2 linked regions of the Macaca mulatta genome follow. The protein of the gene in region 1 purifies or fractionates together with the protein of each later gene. This does not show direct contact. Links are inferred from orthologs where the notes say so. Each region holds a gene or a part of one and is shown on either strand. Other genes may lie near its edges. The genes, in order: SCAP and SREBF2.

Evidence for each region.
Region 2: the proteins of SCAP (region 1) and SREBF2 purify together in Homo sapiens (affinity purification with western blotting; 3 studies listed by BioGRID and IntAct, with this or other methods). This does not show direct contact. The link is inferred for Macaca mulatta from reciprocal best matches to the Homo sapiens genes SCAP and SREBF2.

Annotation. Positions count from the first base shown.
Region 1 is NC_133407.1:110,776,317-110,780,126, reverse strand, and holds part of SCAP (sterol regulatory element-binding protein cleavage-activating protein), read left to right. Parts: coding exon 1-39; intron 40-197; coding exon 198-416; intron 417-1,264; coding exon 1,265-1,641; intron 1,642-2,128; coding exon 2,129-2,317; intron 2,318-2,449; coding exon 2,450-2,651; intron 2,652-2,722; coding exon 2,723-2,838; intron 2,839-3,076; coding exon 3,077-3,599; intron 3,600-3,696; coding exon 3,697-3,782; intron 3,783-3,810. UniProt on the Homo sapiens protein: Escort protein required for cholesterol as well as lipid homeostasis.
Region 2 is NC_133415.1:9,629,415-9,633,224, forward strand, and holds part of SREBF2 (sterol regulatory element-binding protein 2), read right to left. Parts: coding exon 3,706-3,810; intron 1,300-3,705; coding exon 1,078-1,299; intron 1-1,077.

The sequences.
Region 1 (3,810 bases):
TTCACCACTGTCCTGTCCATTGACATTCGCCGGATGGAGGTAGGAGTGGGCTGAGCCTTGCCCCGCCCACCTCCTCAGCCCTGGCTGTACTGAGGGAGTCCTGGGTGAGAAGGGTGTGGACCTTGGGCAGGGCAGTGGTCCTGTGCGGGCGCCCTCTGGATGGTGGACTCGGGCCCTGACCACTGTGCCCCCAACAGCTAGCGGACCTGAACAAGCGGCTGCCCCCTGAGGCCTGCCTACCCTCAGCCAAGCCAGTGGGGCAGCCAACGCGCTACGAGCGGCAGCTGGCTGTGCGGCCGTCCACACCCCACACCATCACGTTGCAGCCGTCTTCCTTCCGAAACCTGCGGCTCCCCAAGAGGCTGCGTGTTGTCTACTTCCTGGCCCGCACCCGCCTGGCACAGCGTCTCATCATGGTACCTGCCACCCCTGCCCTGCCCTCTTCTGGAGGGCCAGCGCTCCAGGCCTCTTGTGGTGCTGCACTTGTCCTTAGAGTGGCGAGGGATGCTCCTCAGGCTCTGGTGGCCCCTGGAAACCTGGCTCTGGGGAGCTGCCTGTTGTGTCCTCCCTGCCCAGACCCTGGTGGCTTCTGAGGAGACAAGCCTGTGGGAGAAGCAGCTCCAGGGCTCTCAGGTACAGGAGCCATCCTCTCCCGAGAGTGGCCCAGGACAGGAGCCTGTTAGTCGAGTGCTCTGGGATGGACCCACCTGTGGCCACATTTCCCTGGGCCACATTTCATCGGCCGCTGCATGGTGTGCAGACAGTGGAAAGTGCTGGGCAAAATCAGTCACCAGCCAGGCTGCGCTGGCTGCGGGGCAGCAGTGCCTCTCCCAGGGAGCTGAACTGAGACGGGAGGAAGGCTGAGGCTCCCTGAGACTAGGCCCTCTGGGGGACTCTGGAGCAGGTCAGGCAGCTGGCCCTCTGGCCATGCTGACCATATGAATGGTAGCAGCTTTCTGATCCCAGCTGAGGTGGAGATTAGGGACCGGGACATTCTGTGTCAAACCTCAGGGTGGTTCAGTCTATTTCCAGGCCAAGAAACTCAGCCCCTAACTGTGGAAAGGGAAGCAGGCCCTCCAGCAGCAAGTGCTGGCAGGTGTTAGCAGGAGGACTCGGAGAGGCAGGAGGAAAGCACACAGTGGGGCCTGTGTCCTCTCTCCATCCCTAGGCCTCAGGTCCCCGTGCTGCTTTCCTCTCAGCATGAGGGCTGAAGCTGCTGGGGTTGAGGCCCATTCCTCCCACTGAGTACCCTGCTCCACTGCAGGCTGGCACCGTTGTCTGGATTGGCATCCTGGTATACACAGACCCAGCAGGGCTGCGCACCTACCTCGCTGCCCAGGTGACGGAACAGAGCCCGCTGGGTGAGGGAGCCCTGGCTCCCATGCCCGTGCCTAGTGGCATGCTGCCCGCCAGCCACCCGGACCCTGCCTTCTCCATCTTCCCACCTGATGCCCCTAAGCTACCTGAGAACCAGACATCGCCAGGCGAGCCACCTGAGCATGGAGGTCCAGCAGAGATTGTCCATGACAGCCCAGTCCCAGAGGTAACCTGGGGGCCTGAGGATGAGGAACTTTGGAGGAAATTGTCCTTCCGCCACTGGCCGACGCTCTTCAGCTATTACAACATCACGCTGGCCAAGAGGTGAGCTGGGCCATGCCAGGTGCCACCTCCTCACTCGATGGTGTCAACTCATCATCCCCTTTCCCCAATGTAGTAGGCCCACAGTTTGAATTCTGCAAATAATTAAAACAATTCATAAGGTTGTGAGGTGGGAACTGGTGGTCTAGGCAGCCATAACCCAAGAGCAACCCCAGGTTCCTCTGAGGAGTCACAGGTGGCTGCCAGCCCTTGCTAGAATGAGACCCACCCACCTGTGCCAGGAGTGGGGAGGGAGATACCCCACACGGTCAGAAGGGCTGCTTGGGTGCTGGTATCTGGGACAGCAAGGTTGGCTGCTAGGCTGGGCTGGGGAGGGACCTACCTCTGTCCCCAACCCCCATGCTGGGAGAGTCTGGCCGGTGGAGCTGAGGCGTGCCTGGGGAGGAGGGAGCGGACTGGCTGGCAGGCACAGTAGGAGGAAGCCTTGGGAGGGGGTCCCCCGCTGAGGCTGCCCACTGTCCGGATCCAGGTACATCAGCCTGCTGCCTGTCATCCCAGTCACACTCCGCCTGAACCCGAGGGAGGCCCTGGAGGGCCGGCACCCTCAGGATGGCCGCAGTGCCTGGCCCCCACCGGGGCCCATACCTGCTGGGCACTGGGAAGCGGGACCCAAGGGCCCAGGTGGGGTGCAGGCCCATGGAGACGTCACACTGTACAAGTAAGGTTGCTGGGTGGGGTGGGGTGGGATAGAGTGCGGGGAGGGGGACAGGTGGGCAAGAGTAGGGGAGAGGGAGGAGGGGAGGGGACAGGCTATGAGGTGTGTCTCACAGCAGTCCGCCTTCCCGTGCAGGGTGGCGGCACTGGGTCTAGCCGCGGGCATTGTGTTGGTGCTGCTGCTGCTCTGCCTGTACCGCGTGCTGTGCCCGCGCAACTACGGGCAGCCGGGCAGCGGGCCCGGGCGGCGGAGGCGCGGAGAGCTGCCCTGCGACGACTACGGCTATGCGCCACCTGAGACGGAGATTGTGCCGCTGGTCCTGCGCGGCCACCTCATGGTGAGCGGGGGCACAACGGCCAGGCAGGGGAGGGCTGGGGCCTGGCCCACACCAACACCAGGCTCCCGCAGGATATCGAGTGCCTGGCCAGCGACGGCATGCTGCTGGTGAGCTGTTGCCTGGCAGGCCACGTCTGTGTGTGGGACGCACAGACCGGGGATTGCCTCACGCGTATCCCGCGCCCAGGGTAGGTGCGGCTGCCCTCTCCTCTGTGACCCCCCACCCCCCTCACCCCACCACCTACCCCGTGCAGCCATGTCTCTCTCCTCCTTTCTCCCTCTGACGTATCCCCCAACCCCTCCAGGCTCCCTCCCACCCCCACACCGCACCCTCTCCGCTTGTCCCCTCTAATGGCCCCTCACTTCCCCCTCTCACCCTTTCCCCCTCCCCCACACCCCCTCTCACTCCACCATCCTGGCCCCCAGCAGGCAGCGCCGGGACAGTGGCGTGGGCAGCGGGCTTGAGGCTCAGGAGAGCTGGGAACGACTTTCAGATGGTGGGAAGGCTGGCCCAGAGGAGCCTGGGGACAGCCCTCCCCTGAGACACCGCCCCCGGGACCCTCCACCGCCTTCCCTCTTCGGGGACCAGCCTGACCTCACCTGCTTAATTGACACCAACTTTTCGGCGCAGCCACAGCCCTCACAGCCCACTCAGCCTGAGCCCCGGCACCGGGCGGTCTGTGGCCGCGCTCGGGACTCCCTAGGCTATGACTTCAGCCGCCTGGTGCAGCGCGTGTACCAGGAGGAGGGGCTGGCGGCCGTCTGCACACCAGCCCTGCGCCCACCCTCGCCTGGGCCGGTGCTGCCCCAGGCCCCTGAGGACGAGGGTGGCTCCCCTGAGAAAGGCTCCCCTTCCCTTGCCTGGGCCCCCAGTGCGGAGGGTTCCATCTGGAGCTTGGAGCTGCAGGGCCACCTCATCGTGGTGGGGCGGAGCAGCGGCCGGCTGGAGGTGGGCAGAGGGGCTAAAGGTGGGCAGAGCGGCTGTCCACCCCGGGGATTGTGGGCCTTTCTGGTGGGCAGGTGCTCACAGCCTCTGGACTTAATAGGTGTGGGACGCCATTGAAGGGGTGCTGTGCTGCAGCAGCGAGGAGGTCTCCTCAGGCATTACCGCTCTGGTCTTCTTGGACAAAAGGTGAGTGTGGCCTGCCCCAGCCCCAGAT
Region 2 (3,810 bases), on another chromosome or scaffold:
GATAATGAGTGTAAAGAGCTTAGCCCCGAGCCTGGCAAACAGTTGACACTCAATAAATATTAGCTATTGTTCCTACTTCTTACAATAATCCTAGCATAAAAACAAACTTTAAGGAAAACAAATGACAAAACACCACAGCATTGTTGGACAGCTATCTTTTTTTTTTTTTTTTTTTTTCCCAAGACAGAGTTTCACTCTTGTTGCCCAGGCTGGAGTACAATGGCACCATCTCGGCTCACTGCAACCTCCGCCTCCCAGGTTCAAGCAATTCTCCTGCCTCAGCCTCCTGAGTAGCTGGGATTACAGGCGCCTGCCACCACACCTGGCTAATTGTTTGTATTTTTAGTAGAGATGGGGTTTCACCATGTTGACCAGGCTGGTCTTGAACCCCTGCCCTCGTGATCCACCCGCCTCAGCTTCCCAAAGTGCTGCGATTACAGGCGTGAGCCACAGCACCTGGCCTGGACAGTTATCTTAAGGCATAGATTTTTACTTAGGATGCATACTTTTCAGATTTGTAGGCAACAAGGAAAATAATGAAATTTTCTTTCAAAATAGGGTTTAAACATAGATAGGTTTTAAAAATAAAATCTCCTACTTTCCAGAAGACACATTCAGTGAAAACACCAGAAACATTTGGAAAATCAATTTCCTCTATTTGTTGCTGGTCAAAGACTCAACCTCTTTTTTCTTTCTTTTCCCTAAAAGGTAACCCCTAAACACAGCTAAAACGATGCCATCAGCTGACTCCAAGGCACACACAGTCCTGTATCTGGAACTACTGAGTGGCAGGCATCTTTCTCTGCCTCTGACAGTGGAGTCCCCCATCACTGCAGAGCACAGCCGAAGGAGTCAAAGGTCTCAGTGGGTCACTGCCTCATCAACCCTCACCAGTACCCTTCTGGTTTTTAATATTTTATAATCTTGACACAATACCAAGATGCTTTAATAAAAAAGTACCTCTAACTTGGTCTTGTATTCACTTACCTTGAGTCTGGGACTTCTCTAAGCTCCTGAAGCAAAAACAGGTAGAGGGGACATGGTGGAACATAAAACACGATTTTGCTTGGCACCCACCTTGGCGTCTGTCCCCATGACCAGGTCTTTCAATTCGATGATTTTGTCATTGATGGAGGAGCGATATCGTTTCTCAATGATATTGTGGGTTGTCCGCCTTTCTCCTTCTTTGGGGGGCTCAAGCTGCTTGACTCCCCCAGGTACCTGCTTAATGGGCACTTTCTCTTGCCCCATCATTACAGGCATTGTGGTCAGAATGGTCCCACTGCTGCCCACCAGGGTCTAGAATAGGCACAGGTACAGAGCAGAATGAACCCTTTGTTAGTCTGCATAAAGCAACCTCAACACAGACCTGCCTACCCTGGCCAAGTGTTGCCAGACCTGGCAGTACTTCATGAGGTCTAAGACTCTTCCTGAGTTAATCAAATCAGGCCCCAAGACGCCTCAGGAGCCACGGCACCTCGGTTACTACCTACCTTCAGAATCAACACTGATAAACTACACAAGAGGATTAACATGGCTAAATATGTTTTAAGTTTTGATCTAGGTATGCCAGAAACAAGTCATGATTTCTGCTGTGCTGTCAAACTGTTAACCACTTCTAAACTTCTACACGGTGAACCACGAGTTGGTACCGGAGAAAACTTCCTCCTAGTGTATGACACATTTTTTCCTCTCAAATGACAATTAAGCAAATTACTGCATTTCTTTATACAATTTCGCCATCAAAAAGCTTAAGGGCAGAAGTGACACTCTCAATCAGGGCCATTCGATTAAGTAAATAGGCCAACCATGGAGGTCCCCTCTTTTTATTCTTCATCTCTGTTTTCTCCTCTTATTTTTTCTAACTTTATTTTCTTTCCTTTTTTTTTTGAGACGGAGTTTTGCTCTCGTTGCCCAGGCTGGAGTGCAATGGTGTGATCTCGGCTCACCGCAAACTCCGCCTCCCGGGGTTCAAGTGATTCTGCTGCCTCAGCCTCCGGAGTAGCTGGGATTACAGGAATGCGCCACCACGCCTGGCTAATTTTGTATTTTTAGTAGAGACAGGGTTTCTCCATGTTGGTCAGGCTGGTCTAGAACTCCTGACCTCAGGTGATCTGCCCGCCTCAGTCTCCCAAAGTGCTGGGATTATAGGCATGAGATACCACGCCCAGCTCTTTTTTTTTTTTTTTTTTTTTTTTTTGAGACAGAGTCTCAGTCCGTTGCCCCAAGCTGGAGTGCAGTGATGTGATCACAGCTCACTACAACCTCCACCCCCCGGGTTCAAGTGATTCTCCTGCCTCAGCCTCCTGAGTAGCTGAAATTACAGGCATCTGCTACCACGCCTGGCTCGTTTTCGCATTTTCATTAGAGATGGAGTTTCATCATGTTGACCAGGCTGGTCTCGAACCACTGACCTCAGGTGATCTGCCTGCCTCAGCCTCCCAAAGTGCTGGCATTACAGGCATGAGCCACTGGGTCCGGACCAATTTTAGTTTATTTTCTTGAATGATGGCCTCAATATCTAATCGGCCAATAAATAAATAAAAAGGTGCCCAATTTCATTAGTTGCCAATAAGTACATCATGCACAATAAATACCACACATCTTAAGTTTATAGCTTGATGAATTTTACATATGTACACAATGTATATAACCACCCAGACCAAGATATAGCCCATTTCTACCAGCTCAGCTCAGAAGGTTCCTGCATGCCCCTCCCCTCCTTGGCACCACTGCTCTGACTTCTAGCACCATAGCTTCATTTTGTCTCTTTTTGAACTTTATATAAATGGAATCATTAGCATGAACTCTTTTGTGATGGGCTCGTTTGGCTTGACACACTATTTCTGAGGGACAGCCCCATGTTGTTTCATGCATCAGTAGCTTTTTTTTTTTTGAGAGTCAGTCTCGTTCTGTCATCCAGGCTGGAGTGCAGTGGTGCGATCTCGGTTCTCTGCAACCTCTACCTCTCAGGTTCAAGCAATTCTCCTGCCTCAGCCTCCTGAGTAGCTGGGATTACAGGCACGTGCCACCATACCCGGCTAATTTTTATATTTTTAGTAGAGATGGAGTTTCACCATGTTGGCCAGGCTGGTCTCAAACTCCCAAAGTGCTGAGATTACAGGCGTGAGCCACCGTGCCTGTCAGCCGTTCTTTTTTTTTAATTGCTAGGCATAATTTCGTTGTATGAATATATCACAATGTGCTTATTCTCCTGTGGATGGACATTTGAGTTGCTTTCAGTTCTTGGCTTTTATGAATAAAGCTAGTGCTTCCAAATTTTAATCACCATTTACTCTATCAGATTCTCATGCTATAGGATGCTGAAAGTGGCTAAGAACCTACAACTGAAGGATGGGGTACCTTCCATGTCCCTCACCTTGGAGCCCTTCCCTGCCTGGTGGCCCTAGGGTCCTTAGCAGGACCTAAGAGGTGAATGGTCCTGTGTGGAGCTATTAGCCAAGAATAGAGGGTCCTTCTGCTATTCTTTTCTACTTCCTTGTAGACCCCAGTACTCCCACATCTAACACACCTTGGTAATACTTTCTCGAGCAAAAAAAACGACTAAGAGGAGTGACATTTACAATTTGACCGATTCGTGCTATAGACCCTCCCATACCTACTCAGCATACAGAGATTTAACATCTCTGAAGACTAACACCTCCAGGAATAAAGGGGGAAGGTGGGGGAGAAGGCAGCTCTTACTGGTACTTGAAGGGCAGCCGTCTGGATAGGGGTGGTGAGGGCGGTGAGGGCTGGGTTCTGGACCGCAGCCATAACAGGGCTGCCATCTGTCTTCAGCGTGGTCAA